Mus musculus: one gene and its partners. Each later gene encodes a partner of the first gene's protein in a complex. Links are inferred from orthologs where the notes say so. Each region holds a gene or a part of one and is shown in the gene's direction. Other genes may lie near its edges.

Region 1 (4,533 bases):
CAGCTGGATCTCATGAAAGCATTTCCTCAAGGGAGGCTCCTTTCTCTGTGATAACTCCAGCTTGTATCAAGTTGACACACAAAATCAGCCACTACCATGATACCTCTGTGGAAGAAATTTCCAAACCCCTGCTTGGGTTTCATTTTCTGGGGATGTTAACTCCATTTGAGTTTGCCAGCCGTCTCTATACTCAGTCGAGCCTGCTCCTTGTGAGTAAATTGAACATTTTTGTCCCTTGTGGAAAAAAGTAGGAATAGAGTGGCCTCAACTGAACAGGAAATTTACTACCCTCGCTGCTGCCCAACTCATGTTGACTGAAACTTTCTTTTCTCTCTCCAAAGCACCACAATAGGCGTTTTCCTGTGTGGCCCTGAAGCCTTGGCTGAAACTCTCAGTAAACAGAGCATCTCCAACTCAGAATCCGGCCCGCGTGGAGTCCACTTCATTTTCAACAAGGAAAACTTCTAACTCCGCTCTTTCACCAGGAAACCAGTGTATGCTGCCAAATGTCCCAGTAATGCTGGTTGGTTGTAGGAGAGAAGGAGGAAAGGAAATCACAATGACACAGGCCCCCTAAAAGGAATTCCAAAGATCCTTACTAGTCATCTGTCATATTGCATGGAACTTCATGGTTTCAGAGCACTTTTTACATACATAGTTATGCATTGTTTCACATTTCCCTTTGACATGCCAGAAGAGGGTAAGGCAAAAGCATTTTCTGGGACTCTCTCTAGGATAAACAATAGGATCTCAAATGAGTTCCACACCTTCCTTCCAATTCAGAAGTTGAAACCACACCTAAGCCATCTGACTCTGGGTGTGGTCACCTTTTCACCTTTAATACCAGGTTGTCTCAAGCCTCAGTTTTTATACTATCCACCAACAAAAAAGCAAGTCAAAGAAGAGCTCATCATTCTTAGCTGTTGTTTTCTCTTTAACCTTAGCATCATGCTAAAGGAAACTTTTTAAATAGAGGAGATAGTGATGCTGATGGTGACTTAATACTTCCTAAATGACAGTATCGGCACAGAAGTATATTCCAGTTTTATCAGCACAACAGTTTAACTGGGTCAGAGATTATTCCTAGTAAGAAATATTAGACTGATTGGAGTTAAAGTAGCACTCTACATTTACCATGGTGTTTGGCAGAATTGGTGTTCAAGGTCAGTTTATTGAATGAATGAATGAATGATTGAACAAATAGATGCAAACATTCAGAACTATATCATAATGGAATGTATGGCCAGAGACAGAATTACCCTTCTGTTTCTTTTACACACCAAAGTATCCTGATTCCCCTGGGAGTAGAGAGAAAGATATGAACCAATAGGGAGAGTCAGGCCATTCTACTGGTATTCATCCAACTGTCATTTGAAGGGAGGAGGCATGAATTCAGAGACCTATTCTCCTATGATGATGGTGGCTAACACTTCTAGTTCCAGTCTGTAAGCTGAAAAAGAAGAACACATTTATTTACTGACAGAAATGATCTGCTCCAGCCAAACTTTGAACTGAATTCTAAGAAATGTATACATGATAATACATATCCTGCTTAGAATCCATTTCTTCTTTGGCTTAAATACCTATACAAATAGATCTTATGTGCATAGACAATAACTTGTTTTTTTTTTTTTAATTGCAGCATTTTCATCACCACTAGTACCAGCATCACCATCTTCCTAAAATATAAATTTTAGAAACTGTAATCCCCAAATAACTGGGTTAAGAGTAAAATCACATCCGATATTTTATGGGCATCCAGAAATGCAAGACAGAGTCTAGATGACTGCTAGACTAGTCACATGTGAAAAAAAAAAAAAAAAAGAGAAAACTACTCCTCTTTCTGGGAACTAAAAGCATTTCTGACTGCCCCCCCCCCCCCAGGAATACAAAGACTTATAACTATTCAGCTTTGGTAATGAGGAAGGAAGAGTAGAGAGCAGAGGCCTTGATGGAGAGAAAGTGGTGAAGCCAACAGGAGAGAAAGGAAAGCACCACACTCACAAGGGAAGTGTCAGAGGCAAAGGGTCTCATGGTGGTTAGGATTCGGCCTCCATTGCTACTTGATATGTATCACATGTAACTAAAGGACGCATGCGCTCATCTTGTTTTGACTTCATATTGCATTGCATAGTTTTAGTTCTGATCACAAATTTTGCTATTGTATGAAGATTTTGAAGGGACTAGACGAAGGGAGAGCTCAGATTCTCCTTATGTTCCTGCTATGCTCTTGTTCGCTTAGCATCCTTAGAGCACTCAAGGCTGGTTCTGGTAAATAAGGCCTTCCTAGATGTGCACATGGTACCAGGAGAATTGTTGCCCTGGGACAAAGGTCCAGACAGACCTTCGTGTTGCACCCTAGGCATTAGGTCATTCATTCAACATACATTTGTTTGGTATAATTAATGAGTCAATTTTAACTATTTGTGGCAAAGTTTGATCTCAGTTACAAGGACTCTGAAAACACCGTGTTCTAACAAAAGTGGTAATGAGTCTGTTTGTTGCTACAAGAATCCTTCTCCAGTTTTCTGGGGTTTTCCTTGTCTTTATTTTTCTTGCAGACAATAGATCCAGACTGCAGACTGGCCCCTCTCCCTCTCCCAGCCCTGCCTCCACACCTCCTCTTCCCCAGATCCATTGTTCCTCTGTTTCCCTTCAAAAAAAAAAAAAAGAGCAGACCTCCCAGAGAACACAGCATAACAAGATGCAATAAGACTAGGCACAAACCCTCATATCAAGGCTGGATGAGGCAACCCAGGAGGAGAAAAAGAATCCCATAAGCAGGCTAGGGTTGATATCAACATAGTTCCCAAAATAGAGATCTATCCTGAGTTATTCTGGTTATGAGATGGAAAATGAGTGCACATGTGCTTGTTGTTTGAGAACTTCCTTCTTTTTGCTCCCAAGCCCCCAGCTCACAGCCACCAGCTGCCAGCTGCCAGCACAGCTCTTTCTGTACTTAGTTCTTAGAATTTAGTAACAGATACTGAGATCTGTCATTAGCAACAAATCTAAAATGAGAAAATAAGGCTAGAAATGATTTTTCTTATTTTTTCCCCGCTTTTGCAATATCATGTTTATGGAATTTGAATACTTGCAGCCATTGTATATGAACAGTCTGGTGAGTGGGAGAAGATGATCTAGAGATAACTTTTAGAAATAACTATTAAAGCTTGCTTTGATGCTGAAATCAGTGAGCTTTCCCTGTGTCTTTGTTATTGAACTTGTCATTAAAGAGTGAATCCAACTAGCAAAGATACTGTATTTTATCAAGAAGGTTGTTCTAAATATGTCAATCAGTTACAACCCTCCCTGTCTAGGTAATGCATGGAGACATGAGCTCATGTTTTGGACTGAATTGGCTGTTGTTATCACGGATGTAAAGCACATCACCGAAGGCAAATGCTAATAAACAGAAATAGCAAACATTTAATGAATGCCTACTACTTTGCCAAACATTTTACATACACCTCAGCTACTCCCTCAACAACAGCACAATGACATTTTAGTCCTAAGCTTGTTGATAAGAAAACTATCCAAGGAAAGATGATTGATAAGCAAAGGTTCCATAGTTGATGGATGGATATGTCAACATTAAATCTCCATTTTCTAGCAATCAGGCCTATGTTCTTTCCGCTAGCAGATTGAATAAGGTTCATGGAACCAAAATATGCATTGAGAATGGTTGGGTAAGGGTGGCAATAGAGATCAAGTATCTTGGTATGTCACTTTTAAATTCAAATAAAATAGGATGCTGGAGGGAGAAATACATTATAAAAAGGGAAGAGTCGGGTGTTCTGGTGCATGCATGCAATAAAGCACTCAAGAGGCTGAATGAGAATTATAAATTCAAGGCTAAGGTGCTCTGCATACCCAGACTCTGTTTTAACCTCACCCCCCACAAAGAAAAGGTTACTTTTCTTGAAAAAAAAAAAAGATCACAGCTCAATTTAAATGCTCTTTTTATATATTTTTATTTTATTTATAAACATTTATGTCTTTCAGAGAATAACAGCCATTATTTGAAGTGTGTGTGTGTGTGTGTGTGTGTGTTTGTGTGTGTGTGCGCACGTGCGCACGTGCATGTACACGTGCATGTGTGCATGTGTGCATGTGTGATACATTTTCATGAAGAAGAAGTGAAATTATAAAATGACAAGATTTCTCAATGTTAAGTGCTGTTCTGCAGAACAAAAAATATGCTGACGTTTCCTGGGCAATCTGACCACTGGAAATTTCTAAAATGTGGAACATGACCAACCAGTCAAGCATGGCTTGAGATGGTTTCAATGCTATAGTCATGGATTGTGTTGGTAAATGAGGACATAGTCTGCACAATTCCTGGCAATATATTCGCAACAACCAAGAAAACTGAATATCTCAAATTAAGTACTAAAAAGAAGTCAATCCCCGTCGAGACTCGAGCCCCGGGCTACCTTGCCAGCAGAGTCTTGCCCAACACCCGCAAGGGTCCACACAGGACTCCCCACGGGACCCTAAGACCTCTGGTGAGTGGATCACAGTGCCTGCCCC
Region 2 (4,973 bases), on another chromosome or scaffold:
AGCCTGGTCAGAGTCTATCATCCTGGCCAGTATTTAAAACGTTTGCTTTAAATTTGACTCAAAATTGTGGTAGTGGTCCTATTTTTTCCCTCGGGAGGATAAACATTTGAGGCCAGCCTGATCTACAGAATGAGTTCCAGGATACCCAGGGCTACACAGAAAAACCCTGTCCTGAGGAGGAAAAAGAAAGAAATGGTTACTTATTTGCTGGGTGGCACATGCCATTAATCTCAGAAGTCAGGAGGCAGATCTCTCAGTTAGATGTGTTGTTCCAGGAACCACGAACTCCAAAAGATCACCAAGCAGCCCTTTGCGATGTAATAGCATTAGGGTCTCTTTATTACAAGCGCAGGCTTGGGCTCTCCTCCATCCCAATCCTGACACAGCAAGGACAGAAAGGGAAGGTGGAGCGGCCTCGAACCCTCAGCAGGACAAGTTTTTATAGAAAAATAGGAGCAAGGGAGGGGGTGAGGGAGAGGGTGTCCAGTCTGGCAAGCATCTAATAGAATGGCTATAAGCTGAGAGGTGGGTGCTCTGAAATAAGGCCGTATACAAATAGCCTGAAGGTACATCTGAAACAGTCAGACTAATCTTTGATTAACTATTGATAGGAAGTAGCCAGGAAGTGTCCTCTGGCCAAGGACAAGCCGTGTGGTCCTTCCTGGTACGTGGGTACAGTCCCAAGATGGGGTAGGTTTGGTCTCTCAGATGGCCAGTCTGGCCTACTGATCAAGTTCCAAGACAGACAGGCCTACAAAGAGAAACCCTGTATTGAAAATCCAAAACAAAAGGCAAGCTTGATGGCACACTAAATTGTAAGGGCTTAGACTTTGGCTGGAACTCAGAAGAGCCCTGGGAAAAACTGAGCTCGGGTGCTTCTCAGTCTCCTCTCTGCCACCTCCCCTGACCCCTGCTCTGGAGGGCAGAGCATGGCAGAACCTACCGCTCCCTCTCCTGACCCTAAATTCTGATTCTCCCCCCCACCCCCCAAGACAGGGTTTCTGGCTGTCCTAGAACACTCCGTAGACCAGGCTGGTCTCGAACTCAGAAATCCACCTGCCTCTGCCTCCCAAGTGCTGGGATTAAAGGCATGCACAACTACTGCCAGGCTTAAATTCTGATTCTTGAGAGCTAGAACTTCACAGGCCTTGCTGTGTGTCCATTGTATTCCAACCGGCTGGGAGTGTTTCGGTCCAAATGTGGGCCGTGCTTTTGCTGTGGTTCAGACAACAGATCCCAGAAAAGAGGAGGGAGCATGGATGCTTCACTTACTGTCATACGTTGGCAGACACATGCAGAATGACCACATGCTTTCAGCTGCTACAACAGAGGAATCAACAGAGAATCTTAGAGATTTCCATCTTACTAAATGTGGAAATGGTTGGGTTTCGAACTTGGGACAAATGGCTTAGGTGGCTATAGCATATCAAAGCAGAGCTGGCCACCAGCTTCTCTCTGTAATCCTCCACCCTCTACGTGTCACAGAGCCTCCTATCAGGCATACCCTGCCTCCTATCCTGAACTCTTGGGCCTTGAGGTCTGCTCTTCCCTACATAATCCAATCATTTCTGTAACCTGCTGTCTTTGTGCCTTTGGGCCTCCTGGCTGCTGTGCCTGGCTCCTCCCACTCCCTTCTTCCTCCCCTTCCCTCTCCCCACATAGCACAGCTCAGCCTGTTCCTGTCTATTCAGCACTCTCCCGGAGGTCCCTGACTCTGGCTGTGCTCTCTCTCCCACACAGCTATAATAAACTCTCTCCTCCACCATATCTGGGAACAGTCATGTTCCTTTTCCTTTCTTATTTCTTTTCTTTCTTTTTCTTTTTTTTTTTTCCCATTCAGAGTGTGTTTCTAACTCGTCACACTCTTCCTTTTCCTGTGATGACAAGGTCGGTGTGAAGCTTTGTGTTTCGAGCTTGACAGGATCTAGATGAGCCTCAGGTCACACCTCTGAGGGATCGTCTGCCTTAGGTTAACTGAGGTAGAGCATCTGCTATGAAAAGTGACCAGGACTTGGGTCCTCCCTGCATAAAGAGAAGAAGGCTACGTGAGTATGAGTTGGTCCCCTGCATCCTGACAGTGGGTGCCTTGTGACCAGCTGCTTCAGGGTCTGACACCATGATTTATCCACCATCATGGACTGTACCCTGGAGACTAGTGAGCCCAAATCAACCCTGCCTTCATTACGATGTTTCTGTCGGAGTGTTTTACCACAGCAAGAAAATTGACTACTTCACAGCTTCTCCTCCTGTGATATCAGAAACCACTTGGTCTCCAGTAGTCTTTAGCCTTAGATGTCCTCGGTGCGAGAGTCCTTGCCTGAGGAAGCAAGCCGAAGAAACTGCATATGCGATCCCAGCGCAATCATGAAAGAAACCACATAACGTTATCTGAAAGAGCCCCCCAGCACTGCGATGGGATAGCGTGTGGGGGTTCAGCATTCTGAAAGAATGCAGAACTGAAAAGGATGACTGTAGCCCCAAAGAGAGCTAAGATGTGTGGGGCGTGACACCATTTTATTAAAATGTCTTAGATCTGCCATATTTACTCAGAATGTTAGGTGCTAGGTTCTGTGGGAAACAAGGAAAGCAGAAGGGCGCTCCCTGCCTCTAGCACTTACAGCAGAGCCCCTGTGTTCAGGTGCTGGGATAGAGAATGAAGAGAAATGCAGAGGAAGGGAAATCAATCTCTGTGGCCTTCTCGGGGTCAGGGAGGGTTTCATGTCGGGTGTGAGACAAAACTGATTCTCTGAGGACAGGCAGGTGGGCTCTGGTTGCACAGGCCTGGAATTCTAGCTACTTAGGTTGTGGCGAATTCAAGCCAGACCTAGGCTGCAAAGCAAGTTCAAGGACAGTCTTGGAAACCTAGTGAGATCCTGTCTCAAAATCATTTTTTAAAAGCCGGGGAAGGGGCTGGAGTTGGAGGTCAACGGTAAAGTACTTGCACAACATGTGAGAGGCTCTGGGTTTGATCTTCAGTACCGGTGGGGTGGGGTGGGGTAGGCTGGGAGGATGGATAACAGTAAAGTCTTCAGAAAAACGTATGATGAGAATCCACATTTAGGGTCTCAATTGTTTATTTGGTTAATTACCCATTCAGCCAATCATGAGAGTTTTACTAAGTATCCCTAGGAAGATGCTGGCATTGTTTGAAGTATACAGAGCTGAAAATGACCCCAGTCTCTTGCATGCTTAATATGAGGGTTCTTTGAAAGAATAAGTATACCTTACACATTCATTGTGACTAGGGTAGTCTGCCAACCAAATAAAACAGCAGTCATGATTTTAAAGGCTACCTGTGGCTATCTAAAGTCACGTAGAATCTAGATCATTTTTCTCTTGCTCCATTTTCCTTCCTTCTCCTCTGTCTCTGTCTCCAAAAACCCCAGCTTCGCCTCCCTTTTCCCTGTCCAATTACAGGCTTCTTGTTGTATTAACATTCAAATTGATTGGACCTGGAAAATTCTGCTACACAAAACTGCTGGGGTCCCACCCCCACATTCAGGTACTGAGATGGAGCACGGAGAGGCAGAGCAGAGGTTGATGATCTCTGGCCTTTAACCCTCTCTTGTTCTTCTGGGCCAACAGCTGATGGCTTCTGGAAATTAACTCTCTCTTGGTATTGGGGGCGGGAGTTGGGTGGGGAGGGAGGGTGCTGGTGGCAAAAGCTGACAATTAACTCCTGCTAATAGCAGCAGAGGATTAAGAAAAGAAACTTAGTTATTTGGGCTCTTTATTCTTTGACTCAGGCCTCTTGCTGTCCAGGTGAGAGGCCCAGAGATCCTTAACCAAATGAAAAGAGAGAGAGAGGGAGAGAGAGAGAGAGAGAGAGAGAGAGAGAGAGAGAGAGAGAGAGAGAGAAAGTCAGGCACACACAGAGAAGCAGAAAATGGCTATACCACCCCTTTATTGTTGTTCTTAGTTTTTAGTTTTTATACCTTCTCAGGATAATTGATCACATGGTGGTTTTTGTTTTGTTTTGTTTTGTTTTGTTTTTTGGTTTTGGTTTTTCGAGACAGGGTTTCTCTGTATAGCCCTGGCTGTCCTGGAGCTCACTTTGTAGACCAGGCTGGCCTCGAACTCAGAAATCCGCCTGCCTCTGCCTCCCGAGTGCTGGGATTAAAGGTGTGCGCCACCACGCCCGGCTGATCACATGGTTTTTAAAGCATTCTTACATTCCATAAGTTCATAGTAAGTTTAAGGCAAAATGGTTCATGTCATGGGTCGATAAGGCTTCAGGAGTTACAGTAACATTGTTTACATGTCTTTCCATTAAGACTAGTACCTGAATAAATAGTCACTATTTTATGGTTCTACAAGATCATTATAAGTTTAAAGTAATAGTTTTTATGTTCCAAGTTAGCATGGGTTTGTCAAGAGACAAATCATCTGCCTTGTGTCTTATTATTTTAATCTTGTATAGGTAAACTAGTTCATCACTTATTTTCTGTCCTTGCACCTACAATAAATTGCCCACCTCCAGTTTATGACCTTTAGTTACCAGAGAGTGGCCTCATTCTTAACCTACAAGAATGTTTTCCCTGAGTGTAAATTTGTTCCAAGCCAGTTTTCTTTTCCTAGAGCAATAAGCTCATGAACCTGAAGGTTTACAAAACTCTATTTGCAGCTTTTATTCTATAGGGGGCTTGAAATTACTTGTATTAGTTTAGGAGTATAAAATCATTATCAGGAATTATGAAATCATCAGTTCATCTACACAGCATTGCTGCATGAAAGTACATCTCCATATTTATTCTGCAAGAGAGCTTCCCAATAGGATGGGCTGATGCCCAGGAAGCAGTAGGCTATGCAATAGTGACAGGAAAGACCTATCAGCAGCGAGAAGCAATCCTGGTCTCTGAGGACCCTGCATCTCAGAGCACATGCATTGCAGTCATGCAGAATGGTGGGCCATCTGCAGAAAACTCACTTGTTTGCCCTGGTCTTCCTAGATGACTTCTGACACAAAACAAAAC
Region 3 (5,244 bases), on another chromosome or scaffold:
TGCAAAGCAAAATTAGACTTCCAAATGTTAAGGGCTGTTAAAGGTTACTTTTTAAATTTCTGTTTCTGCTTCGGTAAATAAAGCTTGTTTTGCATAAGAGGACCTTCTGCTTGTACTAGCACAGAATGTAACTTGTGGTTTTTGCCTTTATAAACCCCTGACTGAGGTGACTGGGGACTGCATTCAGGAATTCCGAGTCCTGGGTGTAGACCTGGTGCCAGTCTATAAATAAAAGCCTCTTCTTAAACTGGGCAGTTCCCAGCACTCAAGAGACAGAGGCAGGTAGATCTCTGTGTATTTGAAGCTAGCCTGGTCTACAGAGTGAGTTCCAGGACAGCCAGGTTTTGAAAAAAAAAAAAAAAAAAAGGAGAGGGAGAGATAAAGAGAAAGAGAAAAAAAGAAAAAAAAAGAGAATAAATCCAGCTTTAAACTGAGTATAGCAGCGTGTGCTTTTAATTCTAGCACTCGCAAGACAGATTGGGCCAGATCCCAGAGTTCCAGGCCAACCAGAAATACATGCACACACTCACACACGCACATCATACAGACAAGCAAAAACAACAAAAAACAGGGATCGAGAGTTGGCTCAATAGTAAAGAGTACTAGCTACTTTCCCAGAGGTCCTGAGGTTCAATTCCCAGCAACCACATGGTGGCTCACAACCATTTGCAATGGGATCTGATGCCCTCTTCTGGTGTGTCTGAAGACAGCTACAGTGTATTCCTATACATAAAATAAATAAGTAAATATTAGAGAGAGACTGCCTCATCCAGTTTTCTCAGTATATACTGTAACTATAAATTGACAAAACTTCAAGGGTCATGCTGTGTACTTTTATAAAGTCATTATAAAATTAGGAATCCCATAACAAGTAGATCTAAAGAGAACGGTAAAGTAATGGAAATCTCTGCTCCAGCATGCCGTCCTAGCACCCACAGATCATCGTAGGTATGTTGGAGGCAAACTACAAAATAGGAACATGTGATCCAGGTTTTACGTCACTAGTTATTGTGTGTTAGGTCTGAAAGAAACCGGGGACAAATGGCTAACTGAGGTGCCTATTGACCATCAAAGTAGATGATGGCCATGCTCTCAGCAAGTACCTGTTACAGAGTCCTGACTCCTCAGCTCTTGCCCACTACCCTAGACCTCTCTAACCCTGCCCAAGCCCCTGCCTTCCCTTCCCTTCCCTCCCCTCAACTCCCCTCCCCTTCCCTTCCCTTCCCTCCAACTTCTCTTTGCCTATAAAACCCAGACATCGTGACTACGTGCTGACATCTGACATCGTGACTACGTGCTGTCTGCCCTCTTGGTCTTTTGTCTCCATCTCGCCTCTCTTCATCTCTTACTCTGCCCCTCTCTCTTTCCTCTCATGGCTCTATTCTGCTGGACATGTTCAACCAGACGCTTCCATATGTGCTTTCCCTCACATTTACAATAAGAAACTCGTCAACAATACCTAGGAGTGGCCATGTCCCCACTTTCATTTATTGTGCATCTTTTGTTAGATTGACCTCGGGTAGTCAGATCATGTTTGCTATACCTTAGGCATCTGGTGAATATGACCTCTTATCATTTCCTGAAAATTACAGATCTAGCCAGGAGGCGGTGGCACACACCTTTAATCCCAGCATTCGGGAGGCAGAAGCATGAAGATCCCTCTGAGTTCCAGGCCAGCCAGAGCTACACAGAGAAACCTTGTCTGGAAAACCCAAAAAACCCCCCAAAAACAAACAAACAAAAAAACCCAATCCAGATCCACTCACTCCCCAGGCTTCTAAACCACGCCCATATCCTGCTTAACTAGGAAACCTCCTTGAGTGACATCTTTCTTGGTTGGCCAAGGGGCTAAATTCAGGTGCCCTACCTGTCCCTGTCCCCAGGAGTGTGAAGCACAAAGGCACAACCCCCGACTGCGTAATCACTCAGTCTCCACCCCTGGGAGGTTCCCACCCAGCTCTTATCCCGGAAGTCTGCGGAACAGAAGTCCGGAAGTTCGAGGGGCTGTTCTCTCCCACTCATTCTCCTACAAGTCCCTCGTTGTCCGCATAGGTGCGTGTCCTACAACTTTTCGGGTTCCGACCCGCCGAGCCCTGTGCGGGTCATCGCTTGCGGATCTGGACCAGGCGCAAGGCAAATTGAGGAAGCCGGGCGTGTGCACTCCGGAGGAGGAGCCAGCGTAACGGGCCGCTAGTGGAGCTTGTTGGTAACTGAAGCCAGAGGGAGGCAAGTTATGTGCCTAACTAGGATTCTTGAGGATGTAGGGTATGAAGCTTGATTGCCCCTGGGAATCCAAGGAGCCACTCAGAACTGGGGCCTTGGGTGTTAATCTCCAGACGTCCTGCCGCAGTGTCCCATTAATTCGGCGCATTTGGGCCATTGTTAGGTAGTCTGGCGTCAATAACAGGGATCTGACAGCTTATGAATGTAGAGACTCATACACGATGGTACTTTCACTTCCCGTTCTTGGTGGGAAGAGTTGTTTCTGGAAGATTCGGGTAAGGTGCCGGAAGCCTGAGTTGTGTGTGTGTGTGTCGGGGCGGGGGAGGGGGAGGGGGCTTACTAATGGAACAACTTAAAGATAAGAGTTCAGTCAAGAAAAGGGTTCACAAGACTGGGGGCTTGGAAGTGAGTTCAGACCAACACCAAATTTGTGAGCTGTGTAGCCCCGATGCCCATACATAATTGTGAGTTAAGTGGGCTCATAAGAGAAAGGTGTTCGGGGTCTGCTGTGGACCTTCCCCTGGCCTCCTGACTGGACTAATGAGGTGCTGCCTATGTGCACTGGTTGCAGGCTTCAGTTGTGTTTTTCCAAGCCTGGTCGGCTGTGCAGTAGAGCCCAGGTTCCAAGAATGTATATGCAGGTGGAGACACGCACCAGCACCCGCCTCCATCTGAAGAGGGCTCCAGGCATCCGGTCTTGGTCCCTGCTGGTCGGTAAGGCTTCCCACCCCCCACCCCACCCCCAATCTAAAAAGCGACGTAAACAGCTTCTTTGTGTTCTATTAGAGGTTCTCAATACAAGGCCTTGATAAAGCATGTTTCATTAACCCTCAGGGTGCCTTTTCTTTCAGATGGCATGCAGGACCGACCCCCTTGCATGCTAGGCACACTCTAACACTGAGATACCCTCCCTGCCTTGCAAGCTGGGCACACTTCTTTAACACTGAGATGCCCTCCCAGCCTATCTGCTTTTTATGAGGTCACTATAGTTTTCCTTCTGTGTGACAGGTGATCATGGGTTCCCATCTTTCCTCTTCCCTGGCTCAGACCTCTTCATAAGCGCACTTAGCCTCTTCCTCCATCGCTGCCTGTCAGAAGGCTCTTGTATCTCAGGGACAGGTGCACTTGTGTTGGCTGGGCTGTACAGTCTGAGGTGAGGCACTAGCTGTGGCTTCAGCAGCATCTCTGCAGTCTGTCCTTATGATATACACATGCTTTTCTGCATGTTATGCTCGGGTGTTGTTATAATTCTGTAAGTAGTCTTCATCCCTCATCCCATGTAAGCAATACCTACCTCAGGGTCATTTGTGCGTTTGTCATTTGTTTGCAGACAAGTCTGGTGAATGCCATGATGGGATATCTTGCTTTTTATTTAATTTTATTTTTAAACTATGTGTGTATCTATATGGGGGTTCTATGCAGGTACGTATAGGTGCCTGTGGAATCCAGAAGAGCATTAGCTCTCTTGGAGCTGAAGTTGCATGAGGTTGCGATGGCCTGACATGGGTGCTGGTGCTGAGTACTGAACTGGGTCCTCTGCAAAAGTAGTATATACTCTTAATCAGTAAGCCCTCTTTTCCAGTCCCCTTCTCCTCCGTTTTGAAACAAACATCTTAGCTGGCTCACCAACTCTGTACTAGGTAGCCTCTACCTGTTGCCCCTGAACAAGCTGTGCTACCATGAGACAGCTATAGCACTGTGAAGAAATGGGTCTTCCCTTGGCTAGTTAACAAGGTACTCTCTCCCTCTCTCTACAGGAATATTATCCACTGGCCTGGCTGCTGCCTATTACAGTGGAGGTAAAGTATGTTCTCCCCTTCAGCTTCCTTGCACTTGGAAATGAACAAAAAGCAGTCTTGGTGTGTGTGGCTTTGGGGTGGCCTTGTGTGGGAGATGATCCCAGGCCATGTCTTGTATCTTAAATCTCTTACTGTGTTACAAAGTCCTCTTGTAAAGCTCTTTAGCATTTGCCTGTCACCTTGCAGGGAGGATGTGTCCCATCTCCATGGCAAGGCTGTATCGATCTACCCATCCTCTAGGTGGAATTAGGCAGAGTTTGGGGCTTAAGTAGCTCCGGTGACAGAAGCACATTACCTAAGCCTCTAATCTGAGCCAAAAGAAAGGTTGGGCTGGGAAGGACCACCTATGGACATCACCTTGGCTCCTGAGCTAATGAGCTGATATACTGTCTGCTTGCAGATAGTCTGGGCTGGAAGCTCTTCTATGTCACAGGCTGCCTATTTGTGGCTGTACAGAACTTGGAAGACTGGGAGGTAAGATGGAACAGTAGGACCCTTCCCGTTCAGAAGCACCTGCCCCAGCTCAGAGGCATTCAGTTACCTGGACTCAGCCCTTCCCTTGATTTTGCTTGTAAACATCTCTGGACTTTTCTAGAAAAGCTACTCACAACAGTTTTCACTAAGGTTCTATGTAGTGTGTTTTGTTATGTTGCAGGCTTGCCTCAAACTCAAAAGAAAGCCAATTGCCTCAACCTTCTGATGGGCATAAAACACCCCACTTGGCGCACAGTAGCGCCCCCCCCCCCCCCGGGTTGTTACAACAAGTCTGTATGTCCCTTGGCTGGGCTGGTTCCACAGGGCAGGGACCTGTGAGAACATTTTGAAGTTCAGGGGTTTGGGGCTTCCTCTGACCACCCAGGTCCTCACTGTACACCTAACAATGGCAGACAGGAATCTGAGCCTGGGGAAAGTCAGGTGGTACCTTTTGGGGATGCCCCCTTCCCTTAGTCTTGGACTTCTCAGAATTCTTGAAGCTGCCTGGCCTGGGCTTCTGCTTTTTGCTTAATGGCCTCATTACCATCCTGTCCTTTTGTTCTTTTATTTACCCAGTACTTAGGGTTGAACCTGGGGCCTCATACCTGCTGGGCAAGATTCCCCAGGCTGGTCTTGCTCTCAGGAAGAGAGAAGAGCACCCATTCTATCTGCTTTCTCTCATGTGTCCCTTACTCACAAGGAGTACAAGAGGTTAGGCACAGAAGGTACCTCTGGAAGAGTCCTGGAG
Region 4 (5,019 bases), on another chromosome or scaffold:
TGTACAGTGCAGTGGGGCAGATTTCCTTCCCTGTGGGCATTATCTATCTGTAAATGGTTTATCCTCCAGGTCTGGGAAATTCTCGTGGAATAGTTCCACAGATGCTTCCCTTAAATTTTTTGTTTTGTTTCTATTTTTTGTTTGTTTGTTTTATTTTTTTACTGTTAGGATATTAGGATGGCTGGAATTCCTGGTCTGGTTTCTTTTCTTTAAAAAAATATTTTAGATTTTGTGTCTGTGCTCACGTGCACACACGTGAATGAATGCAGGTGTCTCAGGGGGCCAAAGGTGTTGGATCGCTCTGGAGCTGGAATTACAGGTGGCTGTAAGCCATGTGATTCAGGTGCTGGGAACCTAACTCCAGTCTACTGGAAGAGCAGCTTGGCCTCTTAAGCTCCAGGAGGAGGGAACTTGCCAGGCAAGTGTGAGGAACAGAGCTCCAATCCAGAAACTAGTATACTAGGAGGGTACGGTGACTCACCTGTAACTCCGGAAGATAAAGATGGGATCTCCAGGGCAAGCTGGTTGGCTAGATTAACTGGAATTGGCCAGTTTTGTGTTCAATGAGAGATCTTACTTCAATATATATAAGGTGAACAGCAACTGAATACACCCAGTGTCAACCTTGGTCTTCTATACACATGTGCACCACACATGTGCCCACACATGAAAACATGCACACACACACACACCACAGATAACCAAAAATATCTTTAATGTTCTTGTCTTCTAATAGGCTACCTTATTTGTGAATGAATTATATGCTTACCCTATCATATCAGCAATCTTTAAAAGAATTCTTCTGACCTTTATCCTTCTGTTTATTATTTTAATGGTATGTATGTTTTTTTTTCCTTATATTTTTGTTTATTTAGTGCTCCCTCCCCACCCCCCACCCCTATTGAGAAAGTCTCATGGTAGGTCAGGTTAACGCTGGACGCTACATAGCCAGAGGTCAAACTTCAGATGTTTCTGCTACCTCCAGTCCAGAGCTGGGATTCCAGGTATGCACTACCTGATATATACCACATCTGTTTCATACCGTCGTGAGGTTCAATCCTAGGGTTTCATATCTGTATCTGCTCGGGGAAGCACTCTACCAATTGAGTTGCATATCCAGAGGTTGGACTTGAGGTTGATCCCCAGGATTCTACTGCTTCCGCCCACCAAGTGCTGGGATTACAGGTGAGCCACCAGGGCAGGCTGTGATGTGCTAGGGATGGAGCCCCAGGCTGTACATGCCGGCAAACATTCTGACTTGGCTACATCCCTAGCAGTTTCTTTTTTGAGACTGGATCTCACTGTGGCACGAGCTATACAGAATTTTCTAGCAGGATCTTACGCTACAGCATACTGTAGTTATCACATAACAAGGGGGCTCAGGAATCTCTCCATGGAGTTGGCACAAGTAGGTTGCGAGCGAACGGGACCCTACCACTGACCCGAACCCGTAACCCCAGGATTCAGAGGGCTTCCTAAACCTGGTCACAACCGGGACGCTTTAGCGTGCCAAGATGGCGGCCGCCCCGCCCCGCGGCCGCCGAGCCCGTTCTCCGGCTGGAGCCGACTGTTGCCGAGCTTTCCCGAAAGCCCGTGGAAGCCAGGAACGGCGCGGGCGGGCGCGCGGGCGGGCGGGAGCGGCCCCGCCCGGAGCCTGGGAGCTGCGTCGACGGCACCGAGGGGGAGGGGAGGCCGGATGTGAGTGGAGCGGCCATTTCCTGTTTCTCTGCAGTTTTCCCCAGCTTTGGGTGGTGGCTGCTGCTGCGCTTCGCCTTCCCGTGCGCTGAGGGCCCGGCGGCGTGGACAGCAGTCCCGGCACTCGGCGCCCCGCCGCCCGCAGCCTCGCCCAGCGCTTCCCGAGCCCGCCGCTTCGCGCCTCAGCCACCGGCCGCCGCCGCCGCCGCCGCGGCCCACCGAGCGGCCCAGATGCAGGCCATCAAGTGTGTGGTGGTGGGAGACGGGTGAGTGCACGGCCGCGCCTGGCGCTCCGGACCCGGTGCCGCGCGCAGCGCCATCGGGGGCCCCCGCAGGCCCGAAAAGCCTCGAGCTGGCGTAGAGCGCGCGCCCGGCCTTCTGGGGGGCGCGAGCCTCCCACCCTCCCGGGCCTGGTTCCGGATTCTGGTTGGGGGAGGGCCTGGGCGAGCCGGCCGGAGGGAAAAGTGAACTCCACCCTCCTGCCTTCTTCCCGGGCCGGACGCCGCCCGTCGCCCTACTCGACTTGGCACGTAGGCGAGGCTGGTTTGAAGAATTTTTCTTGAAACATTTTTAAAAAAAATTTTTGTCTTTTGAGAAAGGGACGTATAGTTTCTTCATTTACTCAGGGTACCCCCTCGCACCCCCCCCCCCGAGAACTGGGATAGGTAACGGCCTCCAAGTCGGCCGGCCCTGGTCGATGCATGTTTGCACCAGTCACTTGGGTGACCTGGAACTTGGGAAAGGGCTCGGTTGCTTCGACTTGACAGGGTGTTTATAAAAATATTCATTTTCACACTTACGCCGAGAAAGTTACTGGGATGCTAGCTGAAGGAGTGTGATGAAGACTGTCCATTGAACGAAGTGTGGTTATTAAAAACAAACAAACCTTCTCTGAAGGCATTAGATATGGATGTAGCAGATCCAGCTCCCTGTGACTCGAGGCAATTCTTTTCGTGATTGACCGTGATGGTTTCAGGCCCTTGAGGGAGACAAGACTGGTCTTATGCAGTCCGTCCCGTTCCCCCCACCCCTTCGGTAGAAACAAGAATCTCAGTGTAATCGGAGCAAAATCGCGCGTCTCAGCGTAGCTTGTGTAGGTTCGTGTTAACGAGGAAGCTTGGAGATTTACCACCCGTTTCCTCAAACGCAGAGTGCAACTGGTCCACTTTCTAGTTCAGTCGAGTACGTTGCCAAACTTGCTTAATGCCTTCCACACTTGCAGTGAGCACTCGCCGCCCATGGGTTTATGAGCCCGTGGATTTATGAGCGATTGTTCAGCGTATTTACAGAACTCTACATTAGACTTTGGGATCGTCCCTGTAACTAAGTCAGCCAGACGGTCAGAGAACTTTATTTTTCTGCTAACATGTCTGTCTGTGGGATTTGTCTCGGAGACAGGAAGTCTCATGGATACGGTTCAATGTATTTAACGACACACTGGAATTTCATTGAGTAGGAATGTCAATGGTGCTTTCCTTTCACCTCCTAAAAGAAAGCTTTGTCACTTGGGGCACTTAGTTTGATAGTGAAGATGTTGTATTGTGGGGCCGGGGTCTTTTTGTGTAAATCCTAGTTTCTGACTGCCTTGGTCCCAACTCCATGATTCTCCTGTTAGGAGGACATGGACATAGGCGTTGGGCTTACAGGTATGAGCCACAGGTCTGCTTTAAGTGAAGGCAAGATGGCTGGGTCTGTCTGTCTGTCTCTCTTTTTGTATTGCGGTTGAACTATAACATAGCACCTTGCTGGGGAACGTTTAAAACTTACCTGAACTTTCCTTGAAAAGTTAAAAATGTTTCACCAGCAGTTTGTGGGCTGGGGAATACTACCACATTCCTAGTGTTTTAATAAGTTAAATTGCTCTGTCACCATCCTCTTTTCCTCCCAGAGCTTAGGGACCAAGGGGAGGAAGAGAGATTATAAGAGTCAGAGGTCAGGGACACCCAGCGGAAACAGTATTTTCTAGATTCCACTTGTGAACTCAGCAGCAGCTGTATAAGATCCTAGCCCAGGGCAGAGAGGGCCTAGGCTGAGTCGAGATGGGCCCTTGATGCTTCTAGGGGTGAGCCAGTCAGTGTTCTCTATGGATGTGGTCCTTGAGGGAAACTAGCCCCAGTGTGAGGCCTCACACTGTTGAGTCTATGGATGGGCAGCACAGATTGGACTAGGTGAGTTTTTAGGGCTGGGGTGGAGTTGGAAGGAAGTAGGGATGACTATGAAAAAGTACATTGAAAGACATCTCAAGACAATTACTTTTTAAAAAGGTAAATTGCTGCTGATCCAAACCCAAACCTTAGTGCTTGGGAATTCCTAAGACCTGACATGCACATGCAGCAGGTATGCCAGCACTCATTCTGTAACCCCCACCCCCAGCTGGGCCTCAGGGCCTTAGGTTTCCTGGCACGTCTGAACAGCTGAGATACGTCTTAGCCTGTTGCTGGCTTTAAAAAGAAAATCTAGTAAAAACGTGTAGAATGCCTCCTGTAGGGTTCATTTGGATTGCCACACCTTTCTTTTTCTCCCTACATTTTTTAATGTGTATGGGTGTTTTTGTGTGTATGTCCGTGCCGTATGTTGATGCCAGCAGAGGATCTCCTGAGACTGGAGTTACTGAGATCGGTGAACCATTAGGTTGTGATAGGAGTGGAACCCAGGCCCTCTGGAAGAATGACCAGTGCTCTGAACTGCTGAGCCATCTCCAGCCCTCAGTACCCTTTTAACCTACGGAGTAATCCTCAGCATATCATTTCTTCCTCAAGAGAGATGCCTCAAGGGAAAGTTAAACAAGCCTAAATGAGATGCTGAGTATGAAGAGGCTCTTGAGTGCCCGGTCCTTGTGGAGCGCTGAGCGAGTGCTGGTTACCGTTGTTGCTGTGCTTTTCTCTTCTCCTTTTCCTTTTCTTTGAGTCCAGTGCCTATTCTCCTGAGCCGTTCCCACTTGCTTCTCGCCTCACTACCGTTGTTGGGGTTTGTTTGTTTTCACTATGAGGGTCAGTGAAGAATGTTAGACATAAAAATGCAGTTCCTGGCCATGGAGTTTTCAGTCTTGTTCTAAACAGTGTATTGTGGTGTGTGTGTTTCTGTGTGTCTCTGTGTGTGTGTGTCTGTGTGCGTGTGTGTGTGTGTGTTCTCTGTGTGTGTGTGTGTGTGTGTGTCTGTGTGTGTTCTCTGTGTGTGTGTGTCTGTGTGTGTTCTCTGTGTGTGTCTGTGTGTGTGTGTGTGTGTGTGTGAAGGCACGCATCACCATGGCAAGCTTGTGAAGGTCAGAGGACCTGCAGGAGCAGGCTCTCGTCTTCCTTCAAGTGGATCCCAGGGATTGAACTT

The links. Proteins that work in one complex are often made in the same cells at the same time.
Region 2: Cybb (region 1) and Ncf2 share a complex: the UniProt entries of both Homo sapiens proteins name them as parts of the phagocyte NADPH oxidase complex. The link is inferred for Mus musculus from reciprocal best matches to the Homo sapiens genes CYBB and NCF2.
Region 3: the proteins of Cybb (region 1) and Cybc1 are in contact, whole or in part, in a cryo-EM structure (PDB 8KEI), measured with the Homo sapiens proteins. The link is inferred for Mus musculus from reciprocal best matches to the Homo sapiens genes CYBB and CYBC1. Residues at the interface, in NP_000388.2 of Homo sapiens: Trp28, Asn74, Leu75, Leu76, Ser77, Phe78, Leu79, Arg80, Gly81, Ser82, Ser83, Ala84, Cys85, Cys86, Trp206, His210, Phe212, Pro266, Met268, Trp270, Lys271, Ile273, Tyr280, Tyr324, Phe326, Lys328, Leu335, Glu336, Trp337, His338; in NP_001028218.1 of Homo sapiens: Arg22, Leu26, Ala37, Ser41, Gly42, Asp43, Trp47, Phe50, Tyr51, Phe57, Gln61, Asn62, Glu64, Lys77, His97, Asp98, Gln99, Val100, Val101, Val102, Leu103, Arg108, Ser111, Glu115, Val117, Arg118, Tyr119, Phe120, Arg129, Ala131.
Region 4: Cybb (region 1) and Rac1 share a complex: the UniProt entries of both Homo sapiens proteins name them as parts of the phagocyte NADPH oxidase complex. The link is inferred for Mus musculus from reciprocal best matches to the Homo sapiens genes CYBB and RAC1.

The regions. Positions count from the first base shown.
Region 1 is NC_000086.7:9,434,152-9,438,684, reverse strand, and holds the end of Cybb (cytochrome b-245 heavy chain), read left to right. Parts: intron 1-341; coding exon 342-468; 3' UTR 469-3,431; downstream 3,432-4,533. UniProt on the Homo sapiens protein: Catalytic subunit of the phagocyte NADPH oxidase complex that mediates the transfer of electrons from cytosolic NADPH to O2 to produce the superoxide anion (O2(-)).
Region 2 is NC_000067.6:152,798,469-152,803,441, forward strand, and holds the start of Ncf2 (neutrophil cytosol factor 2), read left to right. Parts: upstream 1-1,684; 5' UTR 1,685-2,045; intron 2,046-4,973. UniProt on the Homo sapiens protein: Subunit of the phagocyte NADPH oxidase complex that mediates the transfer of electrons from cytosolic NADPH to O2 to produce the superoxide anion (O2(-)).
Region 3 is NC_000077.6:121,226,021-121,231,264, reverse strand, and holds the start of Cybc1 (cytochrome b-245 chaperone 1), read left to right. Parts: upstream 1-1,955; 5' UTR 1,956-2,226; intron 2,227-2,324; exon of another isoform or gene 2,325-2,421; coding exon of another isoform or gene 2,422-2,498; intron 2,499-2,794; coding exon of another isoform or gene 2,795-2,852; coding exon 2,853-2,937; intron 2,938-3,980; coding exon 3,981-4,022; intron 4,023-4,422; coding exon 4,423-4,496; intron 4,497-5,244. UniProt on the Homo sapiens protein: Functions as a chaperone necessary for a stable expression of the CYBA and CYBB subunits of the cytochrome b-245 heterodimer. Controls the phagocyte respiratory burst and is essential for innate immunity.
Region 4 is NC_000071.6:143,524,705-143,529,723, reverse strand, and holds the start of Rac1 (ras-related C3 botulinum toxin substrate 1), read left to right. Parts: upstream 1-1,730; 5' UTR 1,731-1,926; coding exon 1,927-1,961; intron 1,962-5,019. UniProt on the Homo sapiens protein: Plasma membrane-associated small GTPase which cycles between active GTP-bound and inactive GDP-bound states.